Oryctolagus cuniculus: one gene and its partners. Each later gene encodes a partner of the first gene's protein in a complex. Links are inferred from orthologs where the notes say so. Each region holds a gene or a part of one and is shown on either strand. Other genes may lie near its edges.

What was found.
Region 2: FAM8A1 (region 1) and UBE2J1 share a complex: the UniProt entries of both Homo sapiens proteins name them as parts of the HRD1 complex. The link is inferred for Oryctolagus cuniculus from reciprocal best matches to the Homo sapiens genes FAM8A1 and UBE2J1.
Region 3: FAM8A1 (region 1) and HERPUD1 share a complex: the UniProt entries of both Homo sapiens proteins name them as parts of the HRD1 complex. The link is inferred for Oryctolagus cuniculus from reciprocal best matches to the Homo sapiens genes FAM8A1 and HERPUD1.

Annotation. Positions count from the first base shown.
Region 1 is NC_091436.1:144,840,667-144,844,987, forward strand, and holds the start of FAM8A1 (protein FAM8A1), read left to right. Parts: upstream 1-1,518; 5' UTR 1,519-1,636; coding exon 1,637-2,351; intron 2,352-3,352; coding exon 3,353-3,473; intron 3,474-4,321. UniProt on the Homo sapiens protein: Plays a role in the assembly of the HRD1 complex, a complex involved in the ubiquitin-proteasome-dependent process of ER-associated degradation (ERAD).
Region 2 is NC_091436.1:83,178,037-83,181,568, forward strand, and holds part of UBE2J1 (ubiquitin-conjugating enzyme E2 J1), read left to right. Parts: intron 1-1,840; coding exon 1,841-1,914; intron 1,915-3,151; coding exon 3,152-3,283; intron 3,284-3,532. UniProt on the Homo sapiens protein: Catalyzes the covalent attachment of ubiquitin to other proteins. Functions in the selective degradation of misfolded membrane proteins from the endoplasmic reticulum (ERAD) and is essential for cells to recover from ER stress.
Region 3 is NC_091449.1:40,584,870-40,589,091, forward strand, and holds the start of HERPUD1 (homocysteine-responsive endoplasmic reticulum-resident ubiquitin-like domain member 1 protein), read left to right. Parts: upstream 1-1,410; 5' UTR 1,411-1,809; coding exon 1,810-2,238; intron 2,239-4,222. UniProt on the Homo sapiens protein: Component of the endoplasmic reticulum quality control (ERQC) system also called ER-associated degradation (ERAD) involved in ubiquitin-dependent degradation of misfolded endoplasmic reticulum proteins.

The DNA of each region.
Region 1 (4,321 bases):
GCCCGAGGACTTGAGCTATCCTCTATTGCTTTCCCAGGCCACAGAATAGAGCTGGATTGGAAGTGGAACAGCTGGGACTTGAACCAGAGCCCCTATGGGAAGCCAGCACTGCAGGCAGCAGCTTTACCTGCCAAGCCACAGCGCTGGCCCCACGATCTTATTTTAAAGGCAGAGTTTAGAGAAAAAGTGTGAGATCTTCCATCTGCTGGTTCGCTCCCCAAATAGCTACAACAGCCTGAAGCCAGGAGCCAGGAGGTTCTTCTAGGTTTCCCACAAGGGTGCTGGCACCCCCAGGTGCATCAGCAAGGAGCTGGATGGGAAGTGGAGCAGTTAGGCCTTGAACCTGGGCCTTAAGGGATGCAGGCATCACAGGTGGTGGCTTCACCTGCTAAGCCACAACGCCAGCCCAATACTCAGTCTTAATAGTTTTTCAAGTGTTGTGTCCAAGTCTCTATCCAGCTCATTAGCTTCTTAGACGTTAAGCCTTTTAGATGCCCCTGAGCAGTCAAAAATTATTCTGGGCATCATCAGTAAATACTCCATGGGCTCTTGGCCCCTGTTGGCCCTGATTCTGGCCAAAGTTATACTACTACGACTGAGGGAACTAATCCAGTTAAGGACATGGGAAAGCATATTAAAATACTAGTCTGTGGGAACAGCGCTGTGGCGTAGCAGGTAAAGCCACTGCCTGCAGTGCCAGCATCCCATATGGGCTCGGGTTCGAGACCTGGCTGCTCCATTTCCCATCCAACTCTCTGCTATGGCCTGGGAAACAGAAGATGGCCCAAGCCCTTGGGCCCCTGCACCCACGTGGGAGACACGAAAGAAGCTGCTGGGTCCTGGCTTCGGATTGGTGCAGCTCTGGCCATTGCAGCCAGGTGGGAAGTGGACCATCGGATGAAAGACCTCTCTCTCTCTGCCTCTCCTTCTCTGTAACTGATTTTCAATAAATAAATCTTTTTTAAAAGGCTCCCAAACCCTGGATATAATCAGGGGTTCTTTCCCCAACAGGAAAACAGGCTTAAGGAAAGGTTCCGCTCTGCGGCAGCGGGAAAGTTTTTATGGACACAGGCTCGCTAGCTCCAGCATCAGGACCAAGACCAGCTTCTAAATCAGCAATCTCTCTTCCCGTCGCATCCCAAAACAAGTCCCAGTTCAGTTTGGCTGTCGATGTGTTTCTCCCAAGTGCACAGACATTCTCGAGCACAAATGGCGAACCACGCTCTCGGCTCGGCGAGGGCAATGGCGGCGCTGGCCCCGGGCCCGTCCCGGAAATCCCCCTCCATCCAGCCGAAGTTTCTCACGGGACATCCGGCGCCAACCCCCCGGGATTCTCTAGAGAGGCCTCAGGCCTTAGACATCACTCGATTAACCATAAAGAGGCGTGGGGAGCCGGACTGCCGACGGGACAGGAACCCAAAAACCCCACACCAGACACAACAGCCCAACCTCCCGGCCTCCGGCGGCCCCGCGCAGCGATCAGCGACGCCCCCCGAGGGGCGGGGTTTCCGCTTCCGGTGGCGGATTGTTGACGCCTGCGGCTGCTGCGGTGGCGAAAGGGCCGTTGGGGAGGGGCCTCTGAGGGGAGGGAGACGGCGCAGTGACAGGTACCGCGAAGGGTGCTGCCGAGGCGACGATGGCAGAAGGGCCCGAGGAAGCCCGAGGTCGCCCTCCCGGGCAGGACGATGGCGGAGGGGACCACGCGCCTGTCCCTTCCCTGAGAGGCCCTCCCGCAGCCGCCGGCCCTTGTCCCCGAGACGCGGCGCCAGTCGAACCCCAGGCCCCGGGCCGGCCGCCAGCCCCGGCCCTCGCGCCCGCCTCCGCCGCTGCCCCGGAGGAGTCGGAGCCGCAGCGGGAGCTCAGGAGGCGAAGAGAGGCGGCCCCGAGCTCCGGCGCGGGGCTGCAGGAGCCGGCGGGCTGCGAGGCGGCCGAGGCCGAGGCGCTGCGGGAGAAGCCGGCGCGGCTGAGCGCCCGCGAGTACTCGCGGCAGGTGCACGAGTGGCTGTGGCAGTCCTACTGCGGCTACCTCACCTGGCACAGCGGCCTGGCCGCCTTCCCCGCCTACTGCAGCCCCCCGCCGCCCGCTCCCAGCTACGCTACGGCCGCCGCCGCCCCCCAGGCCGCGGCGCCGCCGCCCCCGCAGCTGGCCTATTACAACCCCTTTTACTTCCCGAGCGCCGGCGCCGCGGGAGCGGAGGCGGGGGCGGCTGCGGGCATCAGCACCCCGGCCCCGGTGGCGGGCCTGGGGCCGCGGGCTCCTCACGTGCAGGGCTCGGTCCGGGCCGCTCCAGCGACTCGTGCGGGATCCGCCGCGCCTTCGCGCGCCGCCAGCGAGAGCGGGCGGCAGGCAGGTGAGCAGCGCGAGGCGCGGGGGGTATCCCGAGGGGGTCTTCGGGGAGGCTGCCTGCAGGGTTTGCGCCCCCGTGGGGACGGCCGCGGCTCCCGGGAGTGTGCCCGGGCCTTACACCCCAGTGCCGTCCACCTTGAGAGCAGATCGAGGGCCTCGCGCCCGGGTCGATTCCCACGGGGAGGAATCTGCCCTGGAGAGCGAGGTGGAGAGTTAGACCCACTTGTGCAGAGACTTGACTGGCAATGCTGGAGTGCGCTGCCTAGGGGCTGTGGGCCTGACCGATCCGGAGGATTTACATGAATGCAAATGGAGTTCCCAAGTGTTGGCTGGCCCCTGCTTACTGCTTTCGGAGCCTCCTTGTTAACTTCTGCTTGGGAACTAGAAATGGCTTTAGTTAGCTACGCTTGTTAGAGTTTGTATTCAGCCACCGATATGTGGACCGAGAACCAGTTGGTGCCTGTATATGAGCCTGAATCAGAATTGAGGATGACAGGTTGATGACCCGCGGATTTATTTTCTAGAAAGTAAAACAATGACTGAGGGGAGGGAAATGTGAGATACCGGGATTTACTCTACACAGTATTTATTTATGCTGTACTTTATACCGTGGGTGTTTATACTATAGTTTACTCGAGTTTTACCTTTTTCTCTTAAAGTTTAATTGAGTGTCGCCTAGGTGTGATCACCTGGATTCTCCTAATTTGAGTCCTGCTGAAATGTTTTGGGTACTTGAATCAAACACAGCTGTGAAATCAATCTTTGAACATTAGAGTGATGAAAATAAATTTTAAGCAGTTTATTAAACACAGTGCAGTGGTATCGCTGTATTTTAGTAATACATACTCTTGTTGGGATCAGTATGACTAACTGATGCAAGGTTGTGAATATTCATAATTACTAGGTTGTACCTTGACTTTGCTTTCTCCATTCTTACTTGCCTTGTGCACTAAAGCCTTTGTGAAATGATCATTTTTTCATAATTTTCTTTTTTTTAACTTACAGGCAGGGAGTATGTTATTCCATCCTTGGCCCACAGATTTATGGCGGAGATGGTGGATTTCTTTATTCTGTTCTTTATAAAAGCAACCATTGTCTTAAGCATTATGCACCTCAGTGGAATAAAGTAAGTTAAGCACCTTTGTAGAAGAGTTTGAATTTCTACTGTTTAGAAATTATTGAGTTCTCTTCATGCCTGCAAGTGACTATAAGGATAATGTCATGATTTCTTTCTAAAAGCTCTGTCGGATTTATTTCCTACTGGACCTAAGAAATAACTACAAAGGAGAAAAAAACTCCTCATACATTCTGTAAGATCTGTGAGAATTTCACCCATCAAAAGTAGGTAAAATGATCCTCCAATCCTGGTTTGTTTTCATTCAACTATTCTTGGGCCAGGAAGCAATTTCTCTCTTATTATTCTGTAGAGAGAGTCTCTAACGACAGAAATATAAAGAGCTTTTGGTGGGTGAACTCCTAATTATCAACTAGATGTATTTCCAAATGGCATTGCTTACCATGAGCCCAGTCCCAAGAGAACTGCAAAGTGAGACATTTATTTGAATAACCCTCTCCTGAGATTAAAATAATCATAACAGCAGTTCTCATTTGCTAAGCACTTTCTGTATGCTAGGCACTTAGCTCGCGTCTTTATATGGCGTCTTATTTCATCTTAGTACCACTATGAGGTAGAGGCTAATACCTCCATTTTATAGAGATTGAAATTTGAGTATATGAGAACCTAGGCCCAGAATTTTAAAGGTTACAGAAGTACTAAGTGACCATGTCAAGATACAAACATGTGGTCAATTTTTTTTTTTAGATTTTTTTATTTATTTGAATGATAGAATTACAGAGAGGAGAGAGAGAGAGGAAGGTCTTCCATCAGCTGGTTCACTCCACAAATGGCCACAGTGGCTGGAGCTGTGCCAATCCGAAGCCAGGAGCCAGGAGTGTCTTCTGGGTCTCCCATGT
Region 2 (3,532 bases), about 62 Mb from region 1:
AGAATCTTAGAAACTTATTTTTAAGACTAAGAATGCTTGATTAAAATTAAATTGTATGCCCAGAGTCCTGATACATACCAAATCGCTCTAATTATATATATGAGTGTGTGATGCTTATATGAGGGGACTTCAAAAATTTGTGAAAAGAATTAAAACGTAAAAATACAAATGTTATTTCTCAACATAAGCTTCATCAAGTTCAAGACACTTTTGTAAGTGATAACACTAGCTATTTTGTCCAGCCCCAAAGAACTGGAAGTTCTGAGAATTTAACCGTGTCAGTGCAGTCTGTTTTATATTATTAACTGAAGAAAAATAGGTGCCCTTTAAATATTGTTTTAAAAGTTGTATTTGTCTGTTCGAAAGGCAGAGCAACAGAGAGAAAGGCAGGGGGAGAGAGACAGAGAGATCTTCCATTTGCTGGTTCACTCCCCAAATGGCTGCAATAGCCAGGACTGAGCCAGGCCAAAGCCAGGAGCCTGGAACTCCATCCAGATCTCCCACATGGGTGGCAGGGGCCCAAGTACTTGGGCCACCTTCCACTGCTTTCCCAGTGGAAAATCTCCATTAGCAGGGAGATGGACTAGAAGTGGAGTAGCCAGGACTTAAATTAACTCTGATATGGGATGCTGGCATCACAAACTGTGGCTTTACTTGTTGTGCCACAGTGTCAGCCCCTAAAGATTTTCTTAAGATTAGGAAACAGGAAGAATCAGGAGGCGTGAAATCAGGACTGTAACAGGATACCTAGTGATTTCCCATTAAAATTCTTTATAAAAAGTAAATGTTATCATTCTTGTCCCTTCAGAAAAAGTCAACAACCAAAATGCCATGAGCATCCTGAAATACTGTGGCGTGACCTTTACTTTTGACTTGTGTGCTTTTATTTTGATTGGACCACATCTAGCTCTTGGTAGCCATTGCTTTGATTGTGCCTTGCCTTCAGGAAAATACTGAGAAAGTCATGTTTCATCTCCTGTAAACAATTCTTGGGAGAAATGCTTCAGGATCTTGATCCCACTTGTTAAAAATGTCCATTGACAGCTCTGCCCTTGTCTGTAGCTGATCTGGGTGCAACAGTTTTGGTGCCCATCAAGCAGGAAGTTGTTCACCTTTAATGTTTCAGTCAGAATTGTGTAAGCTGAACCAGTAGGGATGTCAGTGGCAGTGGCTGTATTTCTGCTGTTAATCATCAGTCCTTTAGGGCATGAGCAAGCGGTTTTCGCTTGCAAATTCATGTGAATGATCTGCTGCTGTGGGTGTCATCTTCAGCTCCATCTTGTTCCTCCTTAAAACAAGTCATCCATTTGTAAACTGCTGATTTCTTTGGGGACATTGGCCCCCTACATTTTTTAAAAGCATCACTGATTTCACCATTCTCCCATCAAGCTTCATCATAGATTGGAGCATGAAATCCATTTTATTGATACAGACATTTTAATAAGATAGACTCACACTACTTGCATTCTCCATGTCTAAGTTTCCTGATATGGAAAGTGGGGATCAATAGCACCTATCTAGTAATGTTTTGAGGACTGAATTAATATGGCACTTAGATAAATGCCACCACATAGGAAGCAGATATGAGTACTTATTGAAGTGGTATCTTCCTTATATACCTAAATTAGTATATAACTCTCTAAAGGATGCCATCTTTTAGTGCCCAGCTACCACTTGTTATTATATTAGCCCCGGTTGAACCTGTGCTATATGCTCAGTATGTATATGAACTACATATTCTCCTTTGTAGCAGCTTTTTCTCTAGGCTTGTTAGTTTCTCGTACTTAATTGCTCAGAAAAGTGTATTTTAAATGTCTCTATTTTATGAATTTTATTTTAGCTGTTAAACGATTAATGAAAGAAGCAGCGGAATTAAAAGATCCAACAGATCATTACCATGCGCAGCCTTTAGAGGTTAGTTTCTATCTCCATACTTTTCATACAAATTTTTAAGACTTTAATATTTAAAACAAACTCTTAAAAATTGCTTTTTCATTGCTTTGAGCCATTACAGATGTGTTTAACATAGTTTACTGATAAAGTTTATTCCCTGTGGTTCATGAGTATTTTATTAGTCATTCATTTTAGAAGGAGCAGATTCTGGTCTCTTGACAAGTGGGTCTCAGATGCTAAGTTGGTGTTAGGTCTTGAGTATGAGCTGGTGGGGGGCGTGGTGGTGGGTGTGGAACTTGGAAACTTCAGTCCCATGACGGGTCTCTGTAGCCACCCTGGGCTTTTTGTACAAATGTCTCTACCTTTTTTCAGTCTTCTCATTTATAAAAGGAGAACAGTTAAAGCTGGTTTTATAGTTATAGTTATAGTTATAGTTAGAAAATAATGTAAGAGTGTTATGTACAAGTATTTTGCAACTGAAAAGTGCTTGGTAACTATAAGCTGACATTAATAGCAAATGTGCTAATGTTACTGACCATTTATAAATAAGCTCATAAGCCTTTTTAAAAGATACTGTTTAAAGGCTTACTTAATCCAAATTTATGGTTATCATTTCATTGTATGATAATTGGTATTCTTTCAAGGACTTATTTCCAGTTAATTAAATCAATCTGATTTGTGAATATGTAACAATACTCAGCTTTTTAATTTGAATAGCAGAGATAGAAAGGGATAGACAGAGCTCTTCCATCCACTAGTTTACTTCCCAAATGCACAACAGATGGTGCTAGGCCAGGCCGAAGCCAGGAACCTGGAACTCATTCCAGGTCTCTCTTGTGAATGGGAGGGACTCAACTATTTGAGTCATTACCACTGCCTTTGAGGGTACACATTAGCAGGAAGCTGGAGTCAGAAGTGCAGCTGAAACTTGAACCCAGGTACTTGGACATGGGGTGCAAGCGTCCCAAGTGGCATATTAACCACTGTGCCAAATGCCTGCCCCTTGGAAATTTTTTTATGTATTTGCTTGAGAAAGTTATTAGCTCTTACGGCACATGAAAACTAGATTAAGTAGCTTTTATTTTCAGTTTTTATTTATTTATAACTTTCATCCTTGAGACATTTTGTATATTAGAAACTGTCCATCAATAACAAAACATTAAATTTTTCTTACCCAATATTTCTAATATTCATATTGATAAAAATGGTGCAGCTTTTTAATGTTACTGATTCCTTGTGGCCTGTTGTTTTGGTTCAGGATAACCTGTTTGAATGGCACTTCACAGTCAGAGGGCCTCCAGATTCTGATTTTGACGGAGGAGTTTATCATGGACGAATAGTACTGCCACCAGAGTATCCCATGAAACCGCCTAGCATTATTCTCCTCACGGTAAGAATTCTTGGCTATTTGGAACACTTATGGCTTACCTCTTTTTGCTGGCTGCAAAGTATAGTGAGGGCATGTGTTTTTATCAAGAAGGAAAGTAAAACATAATAATTTTGCTTGTGTGGTCCGGACCCTGGGACAGCAATTTGCCCTCCCAAAATAATGTCTAGGAAGCTGATGCATCTGGGATATGCTAATGATACTAACGAATGGGTCAATGTCCTAGCACGGGTGTTAGGAGTCTGTGAATTA
Region 3 (4,222 bases), on another chromosome or scaffold:
AGAACTCTCTCTCTCTCTCTCTCTTTAATTCTGACTTTCAAACAAATAAATAGATGCTTAAAAATAATAATAATTTTTGTAAAGATCTATTTTACTCATCTTAAGAGCAGAGCTAGAGAGGGAGAGGGGAGAAGGAGTGGGAGGGAGGACACAGAGGCAGAGCTGGTTCACTCCATAAATGGCTGCAATGCCCAGGGCTGCGCCGGGCAGAAGCCAGCAGCCAGGAACACCATCCAGGTCTCCTACGCAAGGGCAGAGGCCCACAGATAGGGGACAAACCATTTCCTCCAAAACAGTGCTGACATTCTGACCCCCAGTGCCTATGCGCTGGAAATAGGGTCTCTGTTGATGATCAAATTAAGATGACGTCACCAGAGTGGTGACTGGTGTCCTCATGAAAAGGGGAAATTTGAACAGACACACAGTGAGGGAAGAGGGCATGAAACGCACACACACAACACAGGAGGATCCGATGTGAACAAACAGGAAGCCAGCGATGGGGACGAGGCACCCACCAGGCAAGGAATGCCAAGGCCTGCCAGCCAGCAAACTCCAGAGGCTGGAGAGCAGCCCGGAGCAGGTTCTCTCAGACATCAGAAGGCTCCGGGCCGGCGCCTCGGCTCAATAGGCTAATCCTCCGCCTGCGGTGCTGGCACCCCGGGTTCTAGTCCCAGTAGGGGCATCGGATTCTGTCCCAGTTGCTCCTCTTCCAGGCCAGCTCTCTGCTGTGGCCCGAGAGGGCAGTGGAGGGTGGCCCAAGTGCTTGGGCCCTGCACCCCATGGGAGACCAGGAGGAAGCACCTGGCTCCTGGCTTCGGATCAGCGCAGTGCGCCATTGGAGGGTGAACCAACAGTACAGGAAGACCTTTCTCTTTCTCTCTCCCTCTCTCACTGTCCACTCTGCCTGTCCAAAAAAAAGAAAAAAAAGAAAGAAAGAAGGTTCCGACACTGCCTACCACCTCGATTTCAAGTTTGCAGCTCCCAGAACTGGGAGACAAAAAATCGCCGTCGTGTAGGCCACCCATTTTGTAGTACTTTGTTGGAGCAGCCCCAGCTGGCCAATATGTCCCCTACCCCCCAGCTGAAGGCTCTTCCCACTACTCTCCAGCCCTGCAGGCTCCTACACATCTGGAAAAACAGAAATCCCAATAGGACTGGGGCAGGGATAGGGCCACGGCAATATCAGTCTTGTTTTCCAAGAATTTTTTCCTCCTCCACAGACAAACGGGAGGCCTCTGTGGTCACGTTCTAGGAACCTGTTCCCCTCTCAGCCCCAATGTAAAACATGTGCTGAGTATCCCATAAAGCGACTCTTCTCCCAGTGTCAGCTGTCACAATAAGGGCAATGGTCTTCACGGGTGGAACAGGCAAGTTCAGGGCCAGAGGCAAATTTGCAAGATGCCCGGATGCCCCCATGTTCTCAACCCAAGGAAGCGTGGGCTCTGTTTCTCCTGGGCAGCCAGGTGTTCTCCGAAACGGGTTCATCAGCAGTTCTGTGGGCCCAGGCCCCCGCAGCACAGGCTGCTGGGGGCCCCCAGGAGAAGGGAAAGGGGAAGTGGGACTTGGTGCTTGGGGGTGAAAAGGGCGGGGGTGTTGCTTTATGAGGAAACAATTTGCAGACACTGCCAAACTGGGAGTTGGCCAGGCTTGTGCTGCCCCCGCCTCACTCCAGTCCTCAGGGACCTTAAGCAGCCCGAGCTGGGGAGCCCCTTGTCTCCTCAGGGCCGAGCCTCCATCCGGGCGCAGCGCACCCCAACATGGCCGCCGAACCCAGGCTCCAGGGCTGCAGCCGCGACTCCGGGTGACGCAATGGCCGCTGGTTGCATCAGCCGTGCCCGCGGGTTTGGCCCGCCCCGCTGCCCCCCGGATCCGGACGCCGATTGGGCCACGTTGGGCAGTGACCCCCGTCTCAGCCAATGGGCGACAGCCACAGAAGAGTCTGTCCGCAGAGCCCGGGCGCGGGCCGCCTATAAAAGGCGCCTGAGGCGGGGGCGCGCGGCCCAGAGAGTTGAACAGTCGTTGCGGATCTTGCCGGTGCGCCGCCGCCTACCTGGCATCTGGGAGCGCCGCCGAGCCTACAGCTCCGCCGCCATGGAGCCCGAGCCGGAGCCCGAGCCCGTCACGCTGCTGGTGAAGAGCCCCAACCAGCGCCACCGCGACTTGGAGCTGAGCGGAGACCGCAGCTGGAGCGTCGGCCACCTCAAGGCCCACCTGAGTCGCGTCTACCCCGAGCGCCCGGTAAGAGGGGCCCCGCCTCCCCCTTTCCGGGAGTCCCTCCGTGCGGCAGCTCCCCCCACGACGGCGGGTCCCCTCCTGGGCACTTCCCCCAGGGCCGAGGTCCCCTCCCGCCGCGGGCGCCCCTCTCCTTGCCCGGGAGCTGTCACCCACAGGGTCTGGGCCGTCTTCACCCCGCCTTTCTGACGGGCTGCTGGCTTGTCACTCACTCCGCCTCCCCCACGTCCCCAAACCCACCTCCCCAGGCCTGGCTCCCCCCACCCGAGCCAGGCCGCCGAAAACAGCAGTTTGACCTTGGCTGAGCTACGTCACCCTCCAGTCCGTCCTTTGCCCCAAAAGACCCAGGCGACTAAGTGTTCCTAACCAGGCCTGCGCCCTCGGCATCCAAGCAGGAATCCGTGCTGCGCGCGGCGTCTTAGCGGGGAGGGGACCGTGCAGGTGCCAGCCCGGGGCCCTACCCAGAGACCCGGGCAGCGCCCGGGCGCCGTGCGCTTGAGGTCCCACGCCCAGAAGAGGACGTGGCTCTTCCCTCGCTGCCCACCTTCCGCCCGCTGGCCCGCGGCTCCTCCCCGTCGCGCGGGGCTCCCCGCTGGTGGCGCAGGGAGGAGCCGCGGGCACTGGGCGATGGAGCCGGGAGCCAGGCGGGAGGAGTCGGCCCGAGGCTGGTTTTCAGACCCGGGCCCCCCCACCCCACCCCGTTTGGGGAGCTCTCCTTGCTTTGTTTTGGTTGACGCATCTGTCAACATCGCCCTTAGCGCCGCCCTCGCGCCCCGCCACGTGACGCGAGGCCGCCGCGAGCCGGACCTTCCTGTATTTACTTTGCACTCGGATGTTGCGTAAGCGTCGGCCGGGTTGCTCGCTGCCCACCACCCTGTGATCCTCCGTGGGGCAGGAGGAGGGCCGACCCGTGGGAGCGCGCGTGTCCTCGGCGCCTTTTCCTTCCTGGTTGGGAACGTGGACGTGGACTGCCCCTCGGACCTGTGGTTTTTTGGCCTGTGTATCCCGTCACCTCCCGTTCCCGTGGCCTTTGCAATTCACCGCTTGCCTCTCCAATTTCTTGGGAGCTGCTTCCAGGAAATGAGGTGGCCTCGAGGTGCACAGATAGGCGAGGGGCAGGTGCGGAGCATCACTCCCCTGAGTGTGACGACCTCAGAAAGATCTGTCATGTGAACACATTGGTATTTACAAATTACTGCTGGAGCATGCTCAGCATTTGTTTTCTGTAGTATAAAATGGTATAATGTGAGACTTCCGACTTTAGAATAGTTAACATTTAACTTTTTTGTTAGCTTTTATTTTATTTTTTTAATACTGTTTGAAAAAGTTATAGAGAGAAGGGGGAAGAAACAAAGATCTTCCATCTGCTGCTTCACTCCCCAGTTGGCCCCCACAGCCTGGGCTGGGCCAGGCCAAAGCCAGGAGCTTCATCCGGGTCTCCCCTGGGTGTCGGGGGCTCAAGCACTTGGGCCATCTTCCACTGCTTTTTCTAGGTGCTTTAGCAGGGAGCTGGATGGGAAGTGGAGCAGCTGGGACTGGAACCAGTGCTCATATGGGATGCCAGTGTCACAGGCCCCTTAAGTCAGTTCTTTTTCTTTTTTGTTGATTCAGGCCTCGAAAAAGGGGTGGGGAACAATTCAAATCCACAAGCAGCTGTAGTTTTGACATCTTCTCTAGTGGTTGAACTCTTTCAAATAAATACATTAAAAAAAAAAAAAAAAGAGTTACACAGAGAGAAGAAGAGGTAGAGAAAGAGAGAGAGGTCTTCCACCGCTGGTTCACTCCTGAATTGGCCGTAACGGCCGGAGCTGCGCTGATCTGGAGCCAGGAGCCCTTCTGAGTCTCCCACACAGGTGCAGGGGCCCAAAGACTTGGGCCATCTTCTGCTGCTTTCCCATAGCAGAGAACTGGATCGGATGTGGAGAAGCTGGGACTCAAACCGGCGCCCATATGGGATGCCAGCACTGCAGGTGGTGGCTTTACTCACTAT